Linked DNA regions of Callithrix jacchus. The protein of the gene in region 2 purifies or fractionates together with the protein of the main gene of each other region. This does not show direct contact. Links are inferred from orthologs where the notes say so. Each region holds a gene or a part of one and is shown on either strand. Other genes may lie near its edges.

Region 1 (8,225 bases), on a different chromosome or scaffold from region 2:
AATTCTATATATTTTATTTTATTATTTATCTTTCTATTTAGCTCATGATAAGAATTTTTGCTGGTTTAATAAAATTTCTGCCCTCTGTTAACAAATATTTTTTCTTCTTTTTCTTTTTTCACTGTGGTATCCCCAGCACCTAAAACAGAGTCTAAGGCACATTAAAGAGTTAAACATGTTGTTGTTGGTGGGGCACGGTGGCTCATGCCTGTAATCCCAGCTATTCGGGAGGCTGAGGCGGGCGAATCATCTGAGGTCAGGAGTTTGAGACCAGCCTGACCAACATGGAGAAACCCTGTCTCTACTAAAAATACAAAATTAGCCAGGCGCGGTGGCACATGCCTGTAATCCCAGCTATTCGGGAGGCTGAGGCACGAGAATCGCTTGAACCTGGGAGGCAGAGGTTGTGGTGAGCCGAGATGGCATCACTGCACTCCAGCCTGGGTAACGAGCAAAACTGTGTTTCAAACATAAGAAAATGTTGGCCAGGTGCGGTGGCTCACACCTGTAATCCCAACACTTTGGGAGGCTGAGGTGAGCAGATCACGAGGTCAGGAGATCGAGACCATCCTGGCCAACATGGTGAAACCCCATCCATCTCTACTAAAAATACAAAAAAAAAAAAAAAAAAAAAAAGCTGGGCATGGTGGTGTGTTCCTGCAATCCCAGCTACTTGGGAGGTTGAGGCAGGAGAATCCCTTGAACCTGGGAGGCGGAGGTTGCAGTGAGATGAGATCGCGCCACTGCACTCGAGCCTGGGTGACAGAGTGAGACTCTGTCTCAAAAAGCAAAACGTGGTTGAGTAAAAGAACACATGAACACTTGTTCATCACGTTTCAGAGGCTGGAGGTACAGTCGTGAGTTGAAACAGACACGATTCCTGCTGATGAAAGAGGGATAGATGGGACACCAAGTGACTGAGCCCAGTGAAGGAAAATGTGTGCGGGCACACAACAGTCGAGCCTACTGTGGTGGTAAGGAGGAGACAGGTCTTCCCGGGAAAGTTGAAAGTGTGATCTAAAGCATGCATAGGAATTAATTACTCTAAAAATGTTAGTTGACTTTTGGCAAGCTGTAGCACCTTGAACCTTCCCTCCCTCCCCCGCTCCTGCCCACTAAGGTATATGCAGTAGAACTTGGAAGCTTCCTGAACCCCAGGCTCCTTATCTGTAAAGGAAAATAGCAATAATTGCTAAGCCACAGGTCAGGTAGGGGAGAACTGAGTTACAGAGGGTAACTACCATCATTCTTTTCTCATCCTTTAACTCGGGTTTCCACCCGTCCCCCACCTGCCCCGTCCCCCGTTCCTGGACTGACACCAGTCCCTGGCCTGTTAGGAACAGGGCCGCACAGCAGGAGGTGAGCAGCGGGCTAGCGAGCGTCACCGCCTCCTTTCAGGTCAGTGGCAGCCTTAGATTCTCATAGGAGCGTGAACCCTATTGTGAACTGCGCACGCGTGGGATCTAGGTTGCAGGCTCCTTATGAGAATCTAAGGAATGCCTGATGATCTGAGGTGGAACAGTTTCATCCCGAAACCGTTCTTGTCTTCCACGACAGCGGTCCCTGGTGCCAAAAAGGCTGGGGATCGCTGCTTTAAAGCACTGACCTTCGAGCAGCTCGCAGGTCCCCGGGGTGTAAGTGGTCTTCTTGGGGCGGCGCCGGAACCCCGTTGCTTTGGTCACTACTTCTATCTTCTGTGAAGCCATGCAAGGACCCTGAGGAGGGAAGGATGCAAAGACACACCCTCTGTCTCCTATCCCTAATTTCCTCTTCCCCACGCCCACCACCCTAGAAGTCTGGAAGCGGGGATCCAGCCAGAGAATCGTGATGCCGCCATTTAATATCGAGACAGTGCCCAAACCTCCCATCCGGACACAGACAGATACACACACAGAGTCCTCATTCTGACCCAGCGCCTGTGGCAGGGAAGTCCCCTCGGGAGGAAGGCAGTGTTAACATAGCCAGATCAGAACAGTACCCACTGAGAGATATGCCAAAATTGAAATTTCACCCTAAGACCTCCTCTGGGTGCTCCCTTCTCCACATAGAGGTGAGCTCTCGGAGGCGGTGACCACTGCTTTACAGCCGCAGCCGCACCGGTGCCACGTAGAAATCCTACGCGATCTGGGCTGCTAGAGCTGGCAACTAACAACTGTGGCTACCGTGGCTACCATGGTAACGCGCCCACGAGTCAACGCATGCGCCCTTTCTCTCTCGCGCCGTCCTGCCTCCCGGAAGTGATGCCTCTGGGTTACCGCGCAAGCGCAGGATAATCGTGGCGCCGCGCGAGTCGTAGTGGAGCCGTTTGCGGGTCTCCGCGCGGCACTGGGGAGCAGCGGCGTCGCAGAGACTAGGGTGTCATGTCAGACAACGAGGACAAGTGAGTGCGAGAGCCAAGTGGCCTTTGCGGCAACCTCAGAAGGGGCAGATGAGGCAAGGCGTGGGTCGAAGGCGGCTGAGGAGCCTGGCGTCGAGGGGCAACGTCTGAGGGGATTGGCGGCCTGAGGGGGCAGGCGGTGCCGGGGAAGGAAAGGGCGGGGACCCAGGAGCATCGGCCCGACCGGAGACCGGGCACGGGAAGCTCCTGGCTCGAGGGTCCGGATAGGATCCGTAGGAAAGGTGTCTTTCGGTGAGCCGGGCTCTGTGTCATGGGAATATTGAGGTGAATGAGGAATCGTCCCTGCCCTCCACGTGCTCGCTTTCTAGAACAGGGGGCACAGGCCCATAAGTAAGTAAACAGGTCATGGGAGTCGCGTGAGCTTCTCCAGTTCTAGAAGTATGTAATATAGGAGTTCTCCAGAGAAGGGTCTGGGGCAGCTCCACCGGTGGCATTAAATACAAGTCTGGAAGGGTTGGTTGCAGTAATCTTATTTTTATTTTTTTTTTAGACGGAGTCTTGCTCTGTCGCCCAGGCTCTGTAGTGCAGTGGCGCGATCTCAGCTCACTGCAGCCTCTGCCGCCCAGGTTCAAGGAGGGATTCTCTTGCCTCAGCCTCCCGAGTAGCTGGGATTACAGGCATGTGCCACCACATCTGGCTGTTTTGTTTTTAGCAGAGATGGGGTTTCACCATGCTGGCCAGACTGGTCTCGAACTCCTGACCTCAAGTGATCCACCCGTCTCAGCTTCCCAAAGTGCTGGGATTACAGGTGTGAGCCACTGTGCCCGGCCTGGTTGCAGTAATCTAGGTGAAAGTCAGTAGCTTGTGGTAGGGTGGTAGGAGCAGAGGTGGTGAGAAGTGGTTTTGAATTCTGGATATATTATTATTTTAAAAGTAGAGCCAAAAAAATTACCTGTTGGATGTGTGGGCACAAAGAGATTTAGTGTGAAGATAAAAATAAGAAACGTGTGGGATTGCTACAACATTCTCAGTGTCAGTAGAGAAAAGGAGATGACCCGTGGCTGAGCGTTCGGGCATTCAAACGTTGAGTGCTTGGAGGAAAAGAGAAGCCAGGGAGGTGGGGGAACACCAAGAGAGTGAGGTGTCGTTGGAGTCAAGTGAGGAGAGCGAGTGGCCTAATGTGTCAGCTGGTAGATCAGGCTAAATGAGATTGAGAATTGGCCATTGGATTTAGCAACGTGGAGATCATTAATGAACTTGGGAAGAGGGGTTTTGATGGAGCTCTTGGTGTGAAAGGCTTTTTGGAGTGGGATTATGACAGGATGGGAAGAGAGGAATTGTAGACAGTGAGGGACAGCTCTTTCACTTATTTTTGCTTCAAAGGGCACTATGGAATTAGGGCTGTAGGGGGAGGGAGAAGAGAAGGAAGGGTTTTTTTTTTTTTTTTTAGTTGAGGAAAAGCACATGTTGAAATACTGATGGGCCGAGTGGTGGCTCACACCTTTAATCCCAACACTTTGGGAGGCCAAGGAGGGTGGATCACCTGAGGTTAGGAGTTCAAGACCAGCTTGGTCAACATGGTGAAACCCTTTCGTTACTAAAAATACAAAAATTGGCCGGGTGCGGTGGCTCAAGCCTGTAATCCCAGCACTTTGGGAGGCTGAGGCAGGTGGATCACGAGGTCAAGAGATGGAGACCATCCTGGTCAACATGGTGAAACCCCGTCTCTACTAAAAATACAAAAAATTAGCTGGGCATGGTGGTGTATGCCTGTAATCCCAGCTACGCGGGGGGCTGAGGCAGGAGAATTGCCTGAACCCAGGAGGTGGAGGTTGCAGTGAGCCGAGATCGCACCATTACACTCCAGACTGGGTAACAAGAGCGAAACTCCGTCTCAAAACAAAAATTACCTGGGCATGGTGGTGTATGCCTGTAATCCCAGCTACGCGGGGGGCTGAGACAGGAGGATTGCTTGAACCCAGGAGGCGGAGGTTGCAGTGAGCCGAGATTGCGCCACTTCACTCCAGCTTGGGTGACAGAGTAAGACTCTGTCTTAAAAAAAAAATAAAAAAAAGGCTGATGAGAATGATCCAGTAGAGAGGCAAACAGCGATGATGAATGAGTCCTAACAAAATCTGGGGGCAGATGGGGAAAGATTGAAGGAGTAAAATGGAACAAAAGTCTGATTTACTTATTATTATTATTATTTTGAGAAGGAGTGTCACTCTGTTGCCCAAGTTGGAGTGCAATGGTGTGACCTCAGCTCATTGCAAGCTCTGCCTCCCAGGTTCAAGTGATTCTCGTGCCTCAGCCTCCTGAGTAGCTGGCATTACAGGCACCAACCACACCTGGCTCATTTTTGTTTTGTTTTGTTTTTTTTTTTTTGAGACGGAGTTTCGCTCTTGTTACCCAGGCTGGAGTGCAATGGCGAGATCTCGGCTCACTGCAACCTCCGCCTTCTGGGTTCAGGCAATTCTCCTGCCGCAGCCTCCTGAGTAGCTGGGATTACAGGCACCCGCCACTATGCCCAGCTAATTTTTTGTATTTTTTTAGTAGAGACGGGGTTTCACCATGTTGACCAGGATGGTCTCGATCTCTTGACTTCGTGATCCACCCACCTTGGCCTCCCAAAGTGCTGGGATTACAGGCTTGAGCTACCGCGCCCAGCCCATTTTTGGTATTTTTAGCAGAGATGGGATTTTTCCATGTTGGCTAGGCTGGTCTCGAACTCTTGACCTCAAGTGATCCACCTGCCTCAGCCTCCCAAAGTGCTGGGGTTATAGGTGTGAGCCACCATGCCCGGCTGATCCTTATTAAGTAGATATTTATTGAGTGCTTCCTATATAGTGGGCGAGACATATATCTTTGCACTTATTGATTTTTTTTTTTTTTTTTGAGACAGGTTCTTGTTCTTTTACCCAGGCTGGAGTGCAGTGGTACGATCTTGGGTCACTGCAACCTCCGCCTTCTGGGTTCAAACAATTCTCGTGCCTCAGCCTCCTGAGTAGCTGGTATTACAGGCATGGGCCACCATGCCCAGCTAATTTTTCTATTCTTAGTAGAGATGGGGTTTCACCATGTTGGCTAGGCTGGTCTCAAACTCCTGGCCTCAAGTGATCCACCCATTTCCATCCCCCAAAGTACCAAGATTACAGGTGTGAGCCACCATGGTCGGCCCCTCTTTGTTTCTGGTAAGTGATGCTCTAACTAACTGATTTATTCTTCCTGTACAGTTTTGATGGTGACGACTTTGATGACGTGGAAGAGGATGAAGGGCTAGATGACTTGGAGAATGCCGAAGAGGTCAGTATTCAGCCTCAGGCTCCCACCTCTGCAGCCCAAGCTGCCAAACAGTCTGGCAGGTGACAGTAACCTGAATGTATCTGCCTTCTGTTTGTGTTCAGGGCCCCCTACCCGCTGGCGTAAGCATTCCCAGTTAGAGTGAGCTGTGTTCCAGTCTTGCACAGCAGAACAGCCCTGTGGGCTAGGCCTGAAAGCTTTTGTCCATGTGGTCCGCAGCCAGTGGCTTCTGGGGCAGTTAGTTCACTGACAAGTTAAACAGCACCTTCCTGCCTCATAAGGTTATTGTAAGGGACATGAGGTATTAGGAAGCAGTCACCTGGTCCCCTGGCATGCAGTGAGCATTAATGGTGGCAGGAGCGGTGATTATGATTGTTGTCATTATCACCCTCCCTGTAACCCAAAAATGCCACCTGAGATTTTCTCTCTTTTTTATCTTGTCCAGGAAGGCCAAGAGAATGTTGAGATCCTTCCCTCTGGGGAGCGACCACAGGCCAACCAGAAGCGAATCACTACACCATACATGACCAAGTACGAGCGAGCCCGCGTGCTGGGCACCCGAGCTCTCCAGATTGCGTGAGTGATGGCCCCTTCACTGTCCTCTGCATCTCTCAGACCATAGTGAGCTCCTGAGCCACTGATCTTGCCCAGCCCAGCACCTGAACGTAGACTCTCCACTCTCACATTCCAAAGGTGGTGCTGTCCCTGTGTACCAGGCATTGTGCTAGGCCCCTGCCCTCAGGGAGCTTGTGATCTAATAGGAGAACTAGGACTTGAACATCTGAGAAGTCAGGTAACAGTATGGGAGAAAAATGATACAAAAATCAGAACTGGATGGTTGCCCAGCAGATTAGTGAAGCAGAAAAAGCGTGAAGTCAGAGTCAATGTGTACCCGTGTTTTTTTTTTGTTTGTTTTTTGAGATAGAATGTTGCTGAGTCGCCCAGGCTGGAGTGCAGCGGCACAATCTCAGCTTACTGCAACCTCTGCCTCCCAGGTTCAAGTGATTCTCATGCCTCAGCCTCCCAGGTAGCTGAGATTGCAGGCATATGCCACCAAGCCTAATTGTTGCATTTTTAGTAGAGATGGGGTCTCGGCATGTTGCCTTGGCTCGTCTTGAACTCCCAGCTTCAAGTGATCTGCCTGCCTCTGCCTCCCAAAGCTCCGGGATTACGGGTGAGAGCCACGGGGCCTGGCCATGGTGGTTCTTTTTGCTTTATTTTCCTAGTCGAGGCCTCACTCTGTTGCTCATACTGGAGCACAGTGGCCTGATCATAGCCCATTGCAGCCTCAAACTCCTGGGCTCAAGCGACTTTCTTGACTCAGCCTCCCAAGTGGCTTCAAGCTGGGACTGCAGATGTGTGTCACTATGCCTGGCTTTGTATTTTTTTGTAGAGATGGGGGTCTTACTGTGTTGCCCAGGCTGGTCTTGAACTCAGCCTCAAGTGATTCTCCTGCCTCAGCCTCCCAAAGTGCTGGAACTGAGATTACAAGCATGAGCAACCACTCCTGGCTTTAAGGTGGTTTTTTTTTTGAGATGGAGTTTCGCTGTTGTTACCCAGACTGGAGTGCAATGGCACGATCTCGGCTTACCACAACCTCCGCCTTCTGGGTTCAAGCAATTCTCCTGCCTCAGCCTCCCGAGTAGCTGGGATTACAGGCGCGTACCACCATGCCCAGCTAATTTTTGTATTTTTAGTAGAGATGGGATTTCACCTTGTTGACCAGGATGGTCTCTTCTCTTGACCTCATGATCCACCCGCCTTGGCCTCCCGAAGTGCTGGGATTATAGGCATGAGCCACCGCCCCCAGCTAAGGTGGTTCTTGATGTGAGGTAGACTGTGGCCAGCCCAGCAGACTGGGGGCCCTCCAGCTTGAGAGCACACTGGAGAGATGAAAGCACAGAGTAGTGGTGGGGTTTTGGGGATTTGAAAATCAGTAAACTTTCTCTCTCATGGCTGGGAGAATAAAGATTCAGGAGATAGAGTAGACAGGTGGAGATCCAAGTGTCCAGTGAGTGCAGATGAGTTAGCCATAGGCAGTGCAGGCCTTCAGATGACTACTGAGGTTTGGGGCAGAGTAGAGAATACACTGGAAGCACCCTCTCCCAGCAGATGGCTTTGAGAATGCAGGGACTTTCAAAGAGGTGGGGCCACAGATGCCTGCTTTTCCCCCCAACCCAGGCTCACCTGTCGGAATAGTTACTCCTGCTTTCTTGTGAAGAGTAGGTGAGAGGACAGAGAGGGGTACTCTAATGGTACTCTGTGGGGAAGCATGAGACTGAGGACAGGAGCCCCTCCCCCAGACTCCTTATAGGCTGTTGTGGGAAATGGTGGGTATCTGGAGGAGGAGGCGTAGTTCAAGTAGGGAAGAGTGGAAATTAGTCTAGAAAGAAAAGCAGCTGGGTGTGGTGGCTCACACCTGTAATCCCAGCACTTGGGGAGACCGAGGCAGGAGGATTGCTTGAGTCCAGAAATTCAAGACCAGCCTGAGCAACATGGTGAAACCCCATCTCTGCCAAAATACAAAAATTAGCTGAGTGTGGTGGTGTGCTCCTGTAGTCCTGGCTACTTGGGAGGCTGAGGTGGG
Region 2 (8,158 bases):
AGTCATTTCTTTTTCCCCCATTTTCTAAAGGAAAGTTCTCAGTTTCCTACCCCTTCCCTGTGGTATCTGGCCCTTGCTGTGTATCATTGCAGGATCTTTGCCCAACAAGTTTTCCTGCTCCTACCCTAGGGTAAGATGCTTCTCCCTTCTCTTCCCTCTGGCATTGTACCTTTTCCTGGAATCAGAGGGTTTGGCTGGTCTTCTTCCAGGGGTAGACTGTTGTTGCTCGTTACTGTAGGTACAGAGCTTGTTGGGAGAGCAGGGAGGATTTGGTACAGAGTTTTGCCTCTGAGAGCAGGTTATTTTTGTCTGCTGGGACTTTGCTAGGCAGGAGGGTATCCTTCCCCTTCCCAGGGACTTAGGTGTTACTTCCTATGCAAGAAAGCCTGGGGAAATAGGTAGGGTTTTATTGCTTGTGTTCCAGCAAAGGGGTCTTTCTCAGGTCTTTTGCCTCACTGCAGCCTTTCATGAGCACTCCACAGAGAGGAACTTTGAGTGGGTGTGGACACTTCCTGTGCCGGGGCTTTAGAAGAATTCAGAACTTGTGTGGCAGTCCACATTTGGCCTTTAAGAAGTCCTTAAAATTTAACTGATTCCTTCTTTTACATTATATTGCATCCTAACTTTCTTTAAAGTTTAACCACTTAATTGTACCTTCCTAAACAATATAATGTAGTTGGGCTGGGCTTTGAACTTTATATAAATGGAATCATGTCATATATATGTTGTTTTATGTCTGGTTTCTTTTGCTGAGTATTTGTTTTTAATACTCAGCCATGATTTTGTGGTTATTTTTTGTTCATTTTCATTGTTTCATATTGTTTCATTGTATGAGTATACCAGAACTTGTCTACATATTATTTGTATGGTTTCCAGATTTTAGCTGCTACAAATAGCTAATATAAATAAGCTTCTTGAGTGCCCTCCTCCTGCCCGCAGCACTGGCATCTCCTGGGAGCTGATTAGACATTCACATTTGTGGGCACTACCTTAGACCTACTGAGATAGAAATTGTAAGAGTAGGGCCTGCAGTTTCTGTTTTAATCCCCTGGAGTGATTACTGCAAATGCTAAAGTTTGAGAACCACTCCTATAGTAGGTATACCTAGGAGAGGAACTGTTGGGGCATAGGGATGGGCAGATAATGGCAAACTGTTTTCTAAGTGATTGTGCCAATTTACATCTTTACCAATGATACAGGAAACCTCTTGGCTATCTTCAGAGTTTTTCATGGTAATTCTTCTCTCTACATCCTTTTTAGTTTTAATGTATAACTTTATCTGTAAAATTAAAAATTAGGTCATTGGTCAATGAAATCTAAAAGTCTGGAAGGACTGGTCTAGATGAAACAGCTTTGAATGCAGTGATGATATCATCTTTGCTTTCGTTTAAATACCTAGCACAGTGTTAAGCACGTAGAAAATTATGTACATATCTATTAAACTGAATTTGAGAATACCTATTTTTTCTGTTTTAAGCAGTTTCTCCATCTTATTTTTTTAAACTCTTAAGACCTAAAGTTTATTAAAATAATTTAGCAATGCTTTTTGAAAAATCACCATATACCTTTTATTTTTTTAGCTTTTATCTCTTCTTTTTGAAGACTTGTTCAAAAAATTTAATTCTGAAATGAAAAAGATTGCTGACCAGGTGATTCCTAAGCAGAGAGCAGCCCAGTTTGATGTTGTAAAACACATGCGCCAAGACCAGATCACCAATGGCATGGTGAACGCTATTTCTACTGTAAGTCTCCAGTCACTCTTTCAGCATTTTCTAATTTACCTGGAAGTCTGTTCAATGGAATGGAAACGTAAAGCACTTGGAGAATCCAGGTGAAATATATATATATTAAAAGGAATGTTTACAAAGCACACATTTTTACTTTGAAAGAAAGTCTGAAGTGTCATCAATAGGAATTTTCTTATTTATAACTTTCCTGCGAAATTATAGTTTCTGTTATATGAGGCAATAAGAAAATAGATACTGATGCGTAGCGGAAAAATCTTCATTTAACTGTTAATAACCATTCTTTTAAAGAAAACTTTCCTCTTTTACTTCTGTAGTAAAATTGACACATTTCAGACAGGTTTCTTAGTTAGCAACCTTTTGTCCAAAATAATACAAAACGTTTCATTTCACAGGAGTTTTATATTCTTCAAAGACCTATCAGCTGTTCCTCACATAAGCAATGAATTTAGTTCTGGATGAATTCAGCTCTCGGCAGCTGCTGTGTAGTCAGGGTCTCAGGCTATTCATAAAAGGTTATCAGATGGGTTTTTGCTCCCTTTCTTAAAGCATGACAACTATAGGTCTATCTGATGAAGTCTGGTTCATGTTTTGTATGCCAGACATAAAATTAGTTTTATGGATGAGATTTTGCCCCAACAAAGCATGATATAATCTGCCATGTTGATTCCCTTAATGATGAAAGAATTATTGCAGACTCGCTTCAATACTTGACTTTGGAACTTTATAGTGGGTCTTAGTGGCCCTTGCAATGACAGCTATATCTAAATTTGAGGTGAACCACGCCTTTGTCCCTGTTTAAGCATATAAACTCTGGTGGTCCGAACTTGTCTGAGGTGGATCCTGAATATTTGAAGAGAATCCTCCAAAGAGTGCTTGAACACACTTCTCTTAGAATTACTTTTTCTTGCTTCTTCACCCATGATTTTCAGGTCAAAAGAGCTATTTTAAGTAGTTCTTTTTCCCCTAAATGAAACTGCTTTACCTCCCTGACAGAACTGCTTATTACAAAAATCAGTAGCAGGCCTAGTTACAGGTGTATCCCACTCTAGGCAACAGAAAAAGATCAACCTTTAAAATTCTGAGTTGCTATTAGCAGAATGCTTTTACCAAATATGTTTTCCCCAAAGGACCAGTTTTAGACCTCTTGTGTTTCTCGTCTCTCCCCTTTGTAATACTCCTGCAGAATACAAGAACAAATTCTCTTGCCGAACATCTTGGCTTTACTCCCATCTACTTGCTACTTGCCAACAGCTGCTGCCTTATTTTAGCTGTGTGCTGAATACTTATTTACCTTATTTACTCTTACTCTCTGGGCATAAGTCAGTTTACTAGATTCATTCTCCCTCCGAGGATAAAAGGAGTTAATGAAATAAGTAATAATATGAGAGGTTAATTTGTGGAATATATATGGTTGCTCTGTTTATTTGCCTTATAATAGAGTTTCTTAGAGCTTAGCTCTTTTCCACATTTCAGAAACTTAAGGTTCCAAAGTGATCAATCTTGACTGTAATAGTGAGCAAACTTTAATTTGTGAGGGAGCTCCCCCAAAGTTACATATTTTAATGCAAAAGATCACCTAATCGTTTCCTGAAACCCTAGCAATTTTTCTGCTACAAGGGTTTTTAATCTGGAATCCACAAGAGTCCAAAATGAATATTAAATTTTTGTTCTTGTTTCTATGTGCATTTTTCTCAAGAGAACACTCCTAGCTTTGATTGGGTCCTCTGAGGAGGAATGGAGAACCATGGCAGGTGCAGTTGTTCTTTTTGGAACTAGAAAACTTGAGTCAACAATTCTGTTCACATATTATTGTCTGCTTTGCTTTTTTTTTTTTAACTGAGACAGGGTCTTACCTCCAGGCTGGAGTACAGTGGTGCAATCTCAGCTCCCTACAGCCTCTGCCTGCCTTTTGGGCTCAATTGATCCTCCCACCTCAGCCTCCCAAGTAGCTGGGAGCACAGACATGTGCCACCACACCCAGCTAGTTTTTGTATTTTTAGTAGAGACGAGGTTTTGCCACATTGGCAGGTTAATCTCAGACTCCTGACCTCAAGTGATCTGCCCACCTCAGCCTCCCAAAGTGCTGGGATTATAGGCGTGAGCCACCACACTCAACCTGTGTTGCTTTTTTGATGAATACTGTTTTCTACTATTAATTCATGTTACTATGAATTTACATTTGAAAAATTTTTGACCTTAATCTGTAAGTTCTCCTTGAGGATATTTTCAATATATACAATTATAAAATAATATGTTTAAAATAATATAACATTTAATGCATAAGAAGATAAAGTAAATTTATTATTCAGGATTTATTTCATATGAATCTATTTTAATAATGATACAGTGGCCACAGAGAATATATATTTCTTAATATGAATATATATACTATTTTTAGATTCCTTAAACCTTGATTAGGAAGCCATCAGTTTGTTCATTATCCCAAATAAGTGCTATCAGAGTTATTTTTCTGTTGCTACATTTTGCTATTCTTAAGAGTAACTTTGGAAAACATCCAAATAATCGCACATTCCAACATGAAATGATCTCTTTGTTGCTGGTGTTTTATCAGTTAGTTTATGACTTCCCATGGAAATCTCTGGTCGAACTGGCTTTTCAGTATAGAATTAGTTCCTCAGAAGGTGACTGCTCTGATATAGTAAGGTTGATGCATCAGACACTTCTGAGATGGTTGCTAGACATAGTAATGTTCATTATCTTCCTAGAAATCCCCAGTGAATGACTTGACTAAGTTTTCATTTTAATTGTGATGCTTTGATTTCTGAATATGTGCATGGTTCTAATTTCGAAAGCATGAAATTCCTGTAATGAACTTCCTGTAGTTACTGCACAGTATCAGACAACATAGGATTGGATTAGGAATAGTGTTGTGTCTTTCATCTCCCTACAGGGAAACTGGTCTCTAAAGAGATTTAAAATGGACCGCCAGGGTGTGACCCAAGTGCTGTCTCGCTTGTCATATATATCTGCACTGGGCATGATGACAAGAATCTCTTCCCAGTTTGAAAAAACAAGAAAAGTGAGTGGTCCTCGCTCCCTCCAGCCGTCTCAGTGGGGAATGCTCTGTCCTTCAGACACTCCTGAAGGAGAGGTAAGGAATCTGAGGAGTCTTGATGCTGTGTCAGAAGTGATACCTATGTCTGTGCATAGTGTGGGGTGGGTGTGGTCCCTTTCTGTTCCTATCTCCCAGGCCATATCCTTTTTTGGTCTGCCATTTATCTGGCAAAGAAATATTGACATGCTTGGAAGACTGCCTTAGTGTCATTCTAAAACTAGGACCTGCAGAAGCATTTGATTCAGTAAGTTAGCTAAAAGTAATACAGTCCATGTTTCTCTTGCTTATTTTAGTTTATCCCAAAATCAAACCATGCACAGAAGGAATAAGACTGTGAAGGCAGATTGAAAGACCTATCATCTCTCATGCTCATGAGAAGCTCTTTTTGAGCAGCTCCTTATTGTCCTTAGGTGGGCTCAGTCACAGCCAATTAGGAGTATACAGTCCATTACCTAATGTGGATTCTAACTCACTTATATTGGAAACACAAGCAATTGCCTAAACACCAAGCCAGGGAGTTTACATTGGTTTACTTCTATACCACCCGCTATTCTCTGTGTCATGGTCCTTTCTCCTTTGTGTTAATATTGTTAGTTTCACTTGATTTTATTCCTTCTAAGTTGTAAAATCTGGAAGAAGGGAGGTTCACCATTGTATCTCAAGCTCCTAACACAGAGGCTTGGTTAGAGTAGAGGCCCCATGAACATATGCTGAATTAATAACTTAAGTTATGACAAGTAAAAGATGTAGATTCCAAAGTGTAGGGATTTGTTATTATTTGGAAGAGATGAAAATAGGAGTCTGTGTAGAGTTGTGGTTTTTATAAATTATTCTTCTAATTTATCTTAAACCATATGGAAATTGACACTAAATTATGCAGTTTGTCAAATTTTTTATAATTTATATATCTTAAACTTTGAAACATTTCATTTCCCAGAAATTGTTTCAGCTAACTTCAGCAAAGTAGCTATTTTGTGCATTACTGCAGCAGATGATTTTAAGACTTGTAGATAAAATCTTACAAATCATCTGTCTTTAAGTATTTTTTTCTATTCACTGTATTCTGTCCTTGTTGGTATTTTTGTTTTAGAACTTTGCGGAATGTATAGAAGTTTAAAACCACTTATCTCCTTTTCATTTTGAAATAATTTTAGATGTACAAAAAACTTACAAAACTAGTATGAAGATTTTCCACAATCCTTCATCTAGATTCCCAACTGTGAACATCTTACATAACCATAACACTGTTATTAACCTCATGAGACTGAACAATACTGTAATCTATGGATCTTATTCAGATTTTGCCAGTTGTCCCACTGTTGTCTTCTTTCTGGTGCAGAATCACACATTGTTTTTAGGTGTCATGTCTCCTTGTCTCTTTTAATCTGAATGTATTTTTCAGTCTTTCTTTATTTACCTTTCATGACCAAGAAACTTTAGGATACTGGCCAGTTATTTTATAGTCTCTCATTTCAGGCCAGAAGTTTTATATTTTTATGTAGCTGCCTTTATTAATGTTTTCCTTTACTTATTTTATACAATGTCATAATGACTGTAATGTTCCATTGTCTGGGAGTAATTGTTAATATAATCAACTTGTTGGGCACGTCACCATTTATAATTACAAATAGTACTGTGCTGAGCATTTCTGTAGCTAAATCTATTTTATATCCTTGCTTGTTATGAAGATAAATTCCTCTGAGTTAAAGGATATATATTTTTTAAAGGCATTTGTGTGAATCACCAAAGTGTCCCCTACAAAGTTGTACCACTTTGCATTGCTGCCAGCAAAGTAGTGAGCTATTTTCAAATGCAAACTGTACTTTGTATTACTAATGTTCGTTCTTAGAAATGGCTATCTTTTGTTTTTTAGGCATGTGGCTTGGTTAAAAACCTGGCCCTTATGACACACATCACAACTGATATGGAAGATGGACCTATTGTTAAATTAGCCAGTAATTTGGGAGTAGAAGATGTGAATTTATTATGTGGGGAAGAGCTCTCTTACCCAAATGTGTTTCTTGTCTTTCTTAATGGTGAGTATATTATAGAGACGTGTTGATCCTGGATAGTCTGTAAAGAGGGGGAGGGAATCCATTATTATCCTGATATTTAAAGCACAAATACACTTTAATTCTGGGTCCAAGTTGACCTTCACCTAAAAGTAGAAAAAGCAATGGTAACAGAAACAGTTACTTTATTGGCTGGGTTGTCCAAGGTTCTGAGAGGATATAGCTGTTAGAGCTAAAGGGTAACATTGCAGAGAGTGGCTGCTTTCTGCCCTTTTGCAGTTGCTGGCTTATCCATAATGGAATAAGTTCAACATGGTATCTTTAAGTGCAAGTTAAATATTGGAGTCACTCTGCAAAAATTATCAGATCAACTCTTACAGTGAATTGACTGTTTAGCTGTCTGATCATCAGTATGTCAGCAGCCTGTGGTAAGAGGGTCCCTCTCCTTGGCTCACACTCCAGTTACTTCTTTCATATACCTCTTCCTGCCTCCTTCAAAGTCTTTCAGCCTTAGCAGCAAGTGTATTCTCTTCCTTTCTGCTTTTGATTTGCTGCTCTGTGTGCCTGTCCTCTCACTAGTAAGCTCCATGAGCTTATCCCTTATCCCTTGTCTGTTCTCTCTTCCTCTCCCCCTTCCTCTGACTCTGAGAGACATTAACTCTTTTTCATATGGGCTGGTGAGAAAGGGGTCAGAGCCTCAGCAGAGCTGTTAACCTACTGCCTCGTTCATTGTATCCCAGAGGCTAACACTGCATGAGCCTTCACTCTGCACTTTTACCCAGTACCTCTTTGAATCCTCCCACTAATCTTTGGAGGCAAAGTTCATTTTCCTTATTTCACAGATGATGATTAAACAAGCGCAGTTTAATAATAGCAGTAGGTAATAGGCAGAATTCTCAGTACTTTAAATGATCAGCTTGTTCAATCTTTACTACCAGCCTATGAAAGTGATGGACAATGTTCAAACCCAGATGGTTTTGGGCACCAAGTTCATGCTCCCAGCACTGTGCTGACAGTTGAGGAAAATAGAGCTAGCTTTTCCAGTATTCCTTGGCCAGCATGTGGAAGGACTGGCCCTTAACCATTCTTCCTTCATTGCTTCCCTGCAACCCCTTGGACTGGTTGCAGGTGTTAACAGTATTTTCAAATGACTGCTTAGTGCTGCTTATTGTTTTTATTGGTTGAATATATTAAATCAGGATGGATTTATTTTTTATTTCTGACTTACCTAGTCTTTCTTTTTGCTCAGGTAACATCTTGGGTGTCATTAGAGACCATAAAAAGCTAGTGAATACATTTCGACTGATGAGAAGAGCAGGATA
Region 3 (8,258 bases), on a different chromosome or scaffold from region 2:
ATAACTATTACAGATATTGAAGCCATGATCAAAAAGCTTCCAAACGAAAGTTTTCAGGCCCAGATGGCTTCAATGGAGAAGTCTACCAAACATTTAAGGATTTAAATAAAAATTAGTACTCATTCCACACAATCTCTTCCGGAAAATAGAAGAGAAGGCCAGGCACAGTGGCTCACGCCTGCAATCCCAGCACTTTGGGAGGTCGAGAAGGGTGGATCATGAGGTCAAGAGATCGAGACCATACTGGTCAACATGGTAAAACCCCATCTATACTAAAAATAAAAAATTAGCTGGGCGTAGTGGTGTGCACCTATAGTCCCAGCTATTCGGGAGGCTGAAGCAGGAGAATCACTTGAGCCTGGGAGGCAGAGGTTGCAGTGAGCTGAGACTGCACCGCCGCACTCCAGCCTGGCGACAGAGCGAGACGCCATCTCAAAAAAAAAAGAAGTAGAAGAGGAGAAAATAGTCCCCAACTCATTCAATGAGGCCAGTATTACCCTAAAACTAAAGCCAAACAAGGCCAAGAGCAGTGGCTAACACCTGTAATCCCAGCACTTTGGGAGGCTGAGGCAGGAGGACTGCTCGAGCCCAAGAGATTGAGACCAGCCTGGGCAACATAATGAGACACTGTTCACAAAAAAATAATAAAATTAGCTGGGTGTGGTGGTGTGTGCCTGCAGTTCCAGCTACTCAGGAGGCTGAGTTGCAAGGATCACTTGAGCCTGGCAGTGAGCTGTGATCACACCACTGCACTCCAGCCTGAGCAACAGTGAGATTCTGTCTCAAAAAATACAAAATAAAACCAGACAAAGATAGTATAAAAAAGAAAACTATAGACCAATATTTCCCATGAACTTAGATGCAAAAATGCTTAAAAAAAGCATTAGCTAATCAATTCCTGCAATATATCCGAAGAATTATGTATCACAACCAAGTAGGGTTTATTTCAGGAATGTAAGGCTAGTTTAATATTCAAAAATCAATCAGTGTAACCCTCCATATTGGCAAGCTAAAAAAGAAAAAAAAATCACAAGATCATAAAAATTCAGATGATGTTGATGAAATTCAACACCCATTCATGATAAAAACTACCTGCAAATTAGGAATAGAGGGGAACTTCCTCAAATCAAAAAAGAGGGTCCAAAAAAGGAAAGCCCTACAGCTAAAATCATACTTAATGGTAAAAGGCTGAATATGTTACCCCTAAGACTGAAAACAATGCAAAGATGTCCACTTTCACCACTCTTATTCAACATAGTACTGGAACTTCTTGCCAGTGTAACAAAGGAAGAAAAGCAGAGGTACAGAGATTGGAAAGAAAGAAATAAAACTATCCCTGTTTGTATATGACACAATTGCCCATGGAGAAAACCAAAGGAATCTACCAAAAAAGGTGTAAAACCTAATAACTGAGCTCAGCAAGACTGCAGGATACAAGACCAACAGACAAAACTCAATTGTATTCCTATATATAAGCAGCAACTTAAAAGAGAACACCATTTACGACCACTCCAAAAAAATTAAACACTTAGGTATAAATTTAAATAAGACGTGTACAGAACTTGTGTGATAAAAATTACAATATACCATTGACAGAAATTTTTAAAGATTTAAATAAACAGAGACATACTATATACATGGATTGGAAGATTTGTCACAGTTAAAACTTAACTTCTTTCCGAGTTGGTAAACATGTTTAATGCAATTCCTATCAAAATCCAAGCAAGATGCTTTGTAGATAGAGACAAGATTTTCTAAAATGTGTATGGGAAAGGCAAAGGAAACAGAGGCATTAAAACACTTTTGAAAAAGAATAAAGTGCGAGGAATCACTCTATCCAATTCAAGACAGCATGGTAGTACTGGCAGAGGGATAGACACATAGACAATGGAACTGAATCGCAAACCCAGAAAGAGCCCACACATAAGTATGGCCAACTTATTTTTGACAATGGTAAGACAAGTCAATGGAGGAAAGATAGTCTTTTCAACAAATAGTGCTTGAGTCTGGACATCCATAAGCAAGTTAATGCACCTCGACCTAAGTCTCATACTTCATACAAAAAGTAACTCACAGTGGATCACAGACAGCAGTAAGGAGACACGGACAAATTACCATCACAGTGGAGAATTTCTCTCTCCTGAAGTAAAAGAAGAAATAGACAAAAAAGGACAGACTTTATATGACACAATTGACCACTAAATAATTAAATATTATTTTCAAGTATATACAGAACGTTTCTAAAAATGCACTACGCACTAGGCCGTAAGTCTCCTTGTATTTCAAGGAATGAGCTCCACGTAGGTGTTTTTCTAACACAGAAAACTAAGGTTACAGATCCATTACAAAGAAACTTTTGCACACTGAAAACCCCACTTTTGAATAACTCCTCAGTAAAAGACAAATGAATACGAGTTAACACTCTTAAAAAACAATGCTCCAAACCCAATGGGGCTTAGAATGAACTTTAAGACCTTAAGGGTGACATTAGAAAAGAGAAAAGCCTGAAAAACGATGAGCGAATCATCCAACTCAAGTTAGACAAACGATTCCATCACTGACCACACAGAATCGCCTAGCACTCACCCACCCCGGTCCCCCATCACCTCCACATCCCTGGGCACTGAACGTCGAATCCTCCTGACAACTATGTAACCCCGGCTGAGAACCGGCGAGAACCGCAGCCGCTTCCGGTCACTACCCCTAGCACCGCCCTTTTTCGGGGTTTGGGACTTCGCATGAGTGAGGGAAAGGGGGGTCCGCGCGTGCGCAAAACCACGTTTGAAGCCGCTAATAGCCAGGAGTTAACATGGAGAAATTACGGAAGTGAGGGGTTTGGGATGTTCGGTGCCCCTCCGCGACGTGTTCAGGTAGGGAACATGGCCGCGCCCAAGTCGCGCTTCCCCATGGGGTACACCATGTTGGAGTAGTGTCCATTCCGTATTGAGGATGAGGACACCTCTAAACTCACAGAGCAGGGAGGTGGAGCTGTCCCGCTGATGGCGGGAAGCACGGGTGGGGACGTTTCTCTGGGCGGGCTTACTGGAGGAGGGGTCTTTGGATCTGTAGTCTATGGGTCCGTTCGATACCGTTCAGAGAAACTGAAGGGCCTCTTGGAAAGAATCAGGGGCGGCCGCGGCTATCTCCTGGCAGATACCACAGGATGAGAAGCGGGGAGATGTCACGTTGACTACAGGCTTCTCCTAGGACATACCACAAGGGAAGGAGGAGGAGAAATCAGGGTTGTGCAAGCCTTCCTAGGATATGCCATGAGGTGGGAAAAGGGGAGAACTCGGAGTGCGGGGTTCTCCCTCCTGCTGTGCCTGTGGGTCTTGGATGCGGGGTTTTAATGCTCCAACAATCTACCTGATCTCCCACTCCATCTACCCTAACTAAAAAGGGACTGTGTACCAGTACTGATAATTTTGAATATGTCTTTAGTCTAACGCAGTATGTCAATAAAAATCTTTAGGAAAAGTTATTATCTTTATTTCCTCATGAAGTCAAATCTATATAGTCATGATGCCCTTGCTTTGGAAATGTAGCTTTAATACAAGGCTCTGCTTCTACCCTTCCACCAGTTTGCTGCCCCTTATCACCTCCAATGTGTAAATTCTGGAGATGTCCCTGCCCTGTGGGAGATGTCACTAGAGCAGAAGGGGAAGAAGTCGTGCAGTCCTCCACCTAAGAATGTCTATTCATCCTTCAAAACCAAGTTCAAGTATCTCCTCTCCAGGGAATCTTCCTGACAGAGCTAGAAGCCTGTATGCCCTGCTGAAAGCCTTTCTGTGAGAGGACCCGGTGTAGGCTGAAGTGTGGACTGGCTAGGGGTTCTCCATCCAGTCTTATCCCCTCTGGTCCTCGGTTTAACAATCTCGAAGGTTAGAGGTGTCCTAGTCCAATTAGCCTCAAACTAATTCTTGGTCAGACAGATCCATCAATCAATAAGGGAGACTGCATACCAGGGGCACCATGGGCAGCTCACTAAGCAAAGGAAAAGAGACTTCTTACATGATTTTGAGGAATAGTGGAGTTGAGATGAAATTGAAATGAAGCAATGTTTTAGTGGGCTCAAAGCAGTTATTATTTTTATTTCCTCATGAAGTCAAATCTATATAGTCATGATGCCCTTGCTTTGGAAATGTAGCTTTAATACAAGGCTCTGCTTCTACCCTTCCACCAGTTTGCTGCCCCTTATCACCTCCAATGTGTAAATTGACCCTCTATGTAAAGGGTCAATGTCAGGTCTGGACTGTGAAGTGAACCCAGAGTGCTGTTTCCTTGGAAACAATTTAGTTGTAGAATTTTGTGTCCCCAGATAACTCTTGCCTAAAGCTCTGCACCTGAGTTGAAAATTGAATGTTGCTTCTCCGGAAGTGACTTGGAATCTCAAGAGTCTGATGTTTCACTCTTACTGATGTAATTTCAAACAGCAATTTCTGATAGTCTATGATTGTAGAGAACAAAGTGTCTCCATGACTAAGGAAGCAATAGTCACCTAAAGTAGGGGTTCTTTATGGCATTAAAACTGCAGCATGTCCTTAGAAGAAATAATGTTTCCTGTGAATTTTGCATTTGGCTTTATATGTGTCTGTTCTTCCATTCTGGTGAATGGCAGGGCACATTTTTATAGTCTGATTTCATTTTTATTTTCTTAGACAATTGGTGTCTTCGTCCATGTTCTGCTTCTATAGGAGAATACCACAGATTGGGTAATTTATAAAGAAAAGAAGCTTATTTGGCTCATAGTTCTGGAGATTGGGAAGTCCAGCATAGTGCCAGCATCCTTCTTGCTGCATTATTCCATGGCAGAGGACGAGAGGGCAAGGAAGCATATGAACAAAGAGCACAAGGGCCTGGGCTCACTTTATAACAACCCACTCTTGAGTTAGTTACTCTTGGTAACTAACTCACTCCCTTAATGACAGCATTAATCAGTTTATGAGAGTGGAGCCTCCATGGCCTATTCACTTTTTAAAAGCCCCACCTCCTAATGCTGTTACAATGGCAATTTCAATGTGAGTTTCAGAGGAGACAAACATTCGAATCATAGCAGTTGAACTTTGATTATCCCAGCTTGTCATTCTGCCCCTGCATCCCTGGTCTGGGCAAATGTTTGTTGAATGAATAAATGAAAGAAGAAATTGAATCCGTGGAAACATATTTGGCATGCATACACTTCTAATAGAGTGCCAAGAATCATTGTTAGTTTTCTTGGATGTCATAATAGTACCAAAAAAAAAAAAAAAAAAGCTCTGTTAGACCACTTCAGAGAAGAAGGAAATGTAGAGCCAGCATATAAAGAGATGTTCAAAGTCATTAGGAAAATACAAGTCAAGACGTAATAAAATGGTATTTTAAACCCATTCAAATTGCAAAAACGTAAAAGTCTGACAGTACCAACAGTTGGAGAGTATGTAGGCCAACAGGATCTTCTTGCCCTGCTGAAGGAATGTAAATCATTGCAAACACTTTAGAAAATATTTTCGCATTTTCTCCTACAGTGAATACATACATACCTTACAGTCCAGTGAGTCCACTCTCATGAATGTATCCAAGAGAGACACTTGCACAAGAAACCTAGGATATGCCTGTTTCTTAGTCTGTTTTCTGTTGCTTACAACAGAATACCTGAAACTGGGTAATTTCTAAACAAAAACAATTTATTTCTTACAGTTATGGAGGCTGAGAAGTCCAAGGTTGAAGGGCTGCAACTGGTGAGGGCCTTCTTGCTGGTAGGGACTCTCTGCAGAGTCCCAACGTAGCACAGGGTATCACACAGTGAAGGGACCGAGCATGCTAGCTCAGGTCTCTCTTCCTGTTTTTATAAAGCCACTAGTTCCACTCCCATGATAAGCCATTAATCATTTAACTCATTAATCTACTAACCCATTAAGGGGTTAACCCATTAGTGGATTAATCCATTCATGAGGGCAGGACAGAGACCTCAACACCCACTCACCTCTTAAAGGCCCCACCTCTCAATACTGCTACATTGGGAATTAAATTCCAACATGAGTTTTGGAGGGGACAAATATTCAAACCATACCAGCATGGCATCCTGTTCACAACAGCAAAACCTGGAAACATAAATGGATGCTCATCAACAGGAGTCATAATGAATGAACTAGAACAACACCCAACAGTATGGATGAATATTAAGGAGGAGGAACTATAATCCCAAAAGATTATGTAAAGCATAACACACTTTTTATAAACTTAAAAGCTACTACTATAGGCTGGGCGCAGTGGCTTATGCCTGTAATCCCAGCACTTTGGGAGGTCGCGGTGGGATGATCTCTTGAAGAGAGGAGTTCAAGACCACCCTGGGCAACAAAGTGAGATCCCCATCCCTACAAAAATTTTAAACATTTGCCAGGTGTGGTGGTGTGTACCTGTAATCCCAGTTACTTGGGAAGCTGAGGTGGGAGGATCCCTTGAGCCCAGGGGTTCAAGGCTGCAGTGAGCTATGACAGTGCCACTGCACTCCGACCTCGGTGACAGAGCAAGACCCTGTCTCTTAAAAAAAAAAGCTGCTAATATAAAGGATATGAACTATTTAGGATTTTGTGTAGTTGCAATCAAATTACATTAAGAAGAAATTTAAAAACAATAAACTTGGGATTCAGGATGATATTTACCTCAGTTGAGGGTGGGGGCAAGGCAACGAATTGGGGGACTACATGGATAGATGGAGGTTATCATCAAGTTCATACCTTTTTTGGGGGGTGGTAGGTGCATATATTCATTCATTCATTCATTTTAGAGACAGAGTCTCATTCTGTCGCCCAGGCTGATGTGCAGTGGCACGATCATAGCTAATTATATTATTTAAAGTAACTAAATATTTAAATCAATTGGGAAAATTAAAATGTTAGATAATGTGATGGTTAATACTTGATTGGATTGAAGGATGCAAAGTATCGATCCTGGGTGTGTCTGTGAGGGTGTTGCCAAAGGAGATAAACATTTGAGTCAGTGTGCTGGGGAAGGCAGAGCCATCCTCAATCTGGGTGAGTACCATCTAATCAGCTGCCAGCACAGCCAGGATATAAAGCAGGCAGAAAAATGTGAAGAGGCTAGACTGGCTTAGCCTCCCAGCCTACATCTTTCTCCCATGCTGGATGCTTCCTACCCTCGAACATTGGACTCCAAGTTCTTCAGCTTTGGGACTCGGGCTGGCTTCCTTGCCCCTCAGCTTGCAGACGATCTATTGTGGGACCCTGTGATCATGTGAGTTAATACTACTTAATAAACTCCCACACGTATATATGGATGAATATATATATATAAGGGACAGATATTTCTAGTATCTTTACAATGTAGAGGGCAGCAAAACACATACATCAGAGTCATTTTCTTGAAACATTAATGATTCCCCCAAAAGACTCCGCAGGCATCTCTGGATGAAATGACTACTATAATAAAATTAATCTGATAAGATAAGTAATGCATGAGATACCAAAGAGGTGGAGAACTTATAACTTAAATACTTGGTGAATTGACCATCAGGTACTTGATGTTTAGTGCAACAAAACAGCCCCCAAATCCCTAACTTCATGGAGTTAACATCCTACTAGGGAATAGAGGCAGTAAGCATTTTCAAAGAGTAAATTATAAAGGTGATAACTGCTAACGAAGGGATGTGATAGGGAGAGATATGAGTTGAAAATGCTGGGGGAACTGCCACTTTATGTTTTTAGTTTTTAGTTTTAATTTTTTTTATTTTTTAAATTTGTGTGGGTATATAGTAGGTGTATATATTTATAGGGCACGTAAGGTATTTTGATACAGGCATGCAATGTGAAATAAGCACATCATGGGGAATAATATATCCATCCCATTAAGCATTTATCCTTTGAGTTACAAACAATCCAATTACACTCTTTAAATTATTTTAAAATGTGCAATTAAGTTATTGACTATAGTCACCCCCATTGTGCTATCAAATAGTAGATCATATTCATTCTTCTAACTATATTTCTTGTGCTCGCTAACCATCCCCACCAGCCCCTGATTACCCTTCCTAGCCTCTGGTAACCATTCTTCTACTCTCCATCTCCATAAGCTTAATTGTTTTGATTTTTAGATCCCACAAATAAGTGAGAACATGTGACGTTTGTCTTTCTGTGCCTGGCTTATTTCACTTAACATAATGATCTCCAGTTTCATCCATGTTGTTGCAAATGACTGGATCTCATTCTTTTTATGGCTAAATAGTACTCCATTGTGTATAGGTACCATGTTTTCTTTATCCA

Evidence for each region. The genes of interacting proteins can lie anywhere in the genome.
Region 1: the proteins of POLR3B (region 2) and POLR2F purify together in Homo sapiens (affinity purification with mass spectrometry; 5 studies listed by BioGRID and IntAct, with this or other methods). This does not show direct contact. The link is inferred for Callithrix jacchus from reciprocal best matches to the Homo sapiens genes POLR3B and POLR2F.
Region 3: the proteins of POLR3B (region 2) and UXT purify together in Homo sapiens (affinity purification with mass spectrometry; 3 studies listed by BioGRID and IntAct, counting the BioPlex papers as one, with this or other methods). This does not show direct contact. The link is inferred for Callithrix jacchus from reciprocal best matches to the Homo sapiens genes POLR3B and UXT.

What each region holds. Positions count from the first base shown.
Region 1 is NC_133502.1:208,953,858-208,962,082, forward strand, and holds the start of POLR2F (DNA-directed RNA polymerases I, II, and III subunit RPABC2), read left to right. Parts: upstream 1-2,511; 5' UTR 2,512-2,666; coding exon 2,667-2,728; intron 2,729-5,571; coding exon 5,572-5,641; intron 5,642-6,083; coding exon 6,084-6,214; intron 6,215-8,225. Other genes in the region: C1H22orf23 (UPF0193 protein EVG1), read right to left, coding at 1,607-1,706. UniProt on the Homo sapiens protein: DNA-dependent RNA polymerase catalyzes the transcription of DNA into RNA using the four ribonucleoside triphosphates as substrates.
Region 2 is NC_133510.1:109,297,328-109,305,485, forward strand, and holds part of POLR3B (DNA-directed RNA polymerase III subunit RPC2), read left to right. Parts: intron 1-1,580; coding exon 1,581-1,742; intron 1,743-4,659; coding exon 4,660-4,860; intron 4,861-6,697; coding exon 6,698-6,860; intron 6,861-8,085; coding exon 8,086-8,158. UniProt on the Homo sapiens protein: Catalytic core component of RNA polymerase III (Pol III), a DNA-dependent RNA polymerase which synthesizes small non-coding RNAs using the four ribonucleoside triphosphates as substrates.
Region 3 is NC_133524.1:48,731,580-48,739,837, reverse strand, and holds the start of UXT (protein UXT), read left to right. Parts: upstream 1-2,777; 5' UTR 2,778-2,840; coding exon 2,841-2,870; intron 2,871-8,258. UniProt on the Homo sapiens protein: Involved in gene transcription regulation. Acts in concert with the corepressor URI1 to regulate androgen receptor AR-mediated transcription. Together with URI1, associates with chromatin to the NKX3-1 promoter region.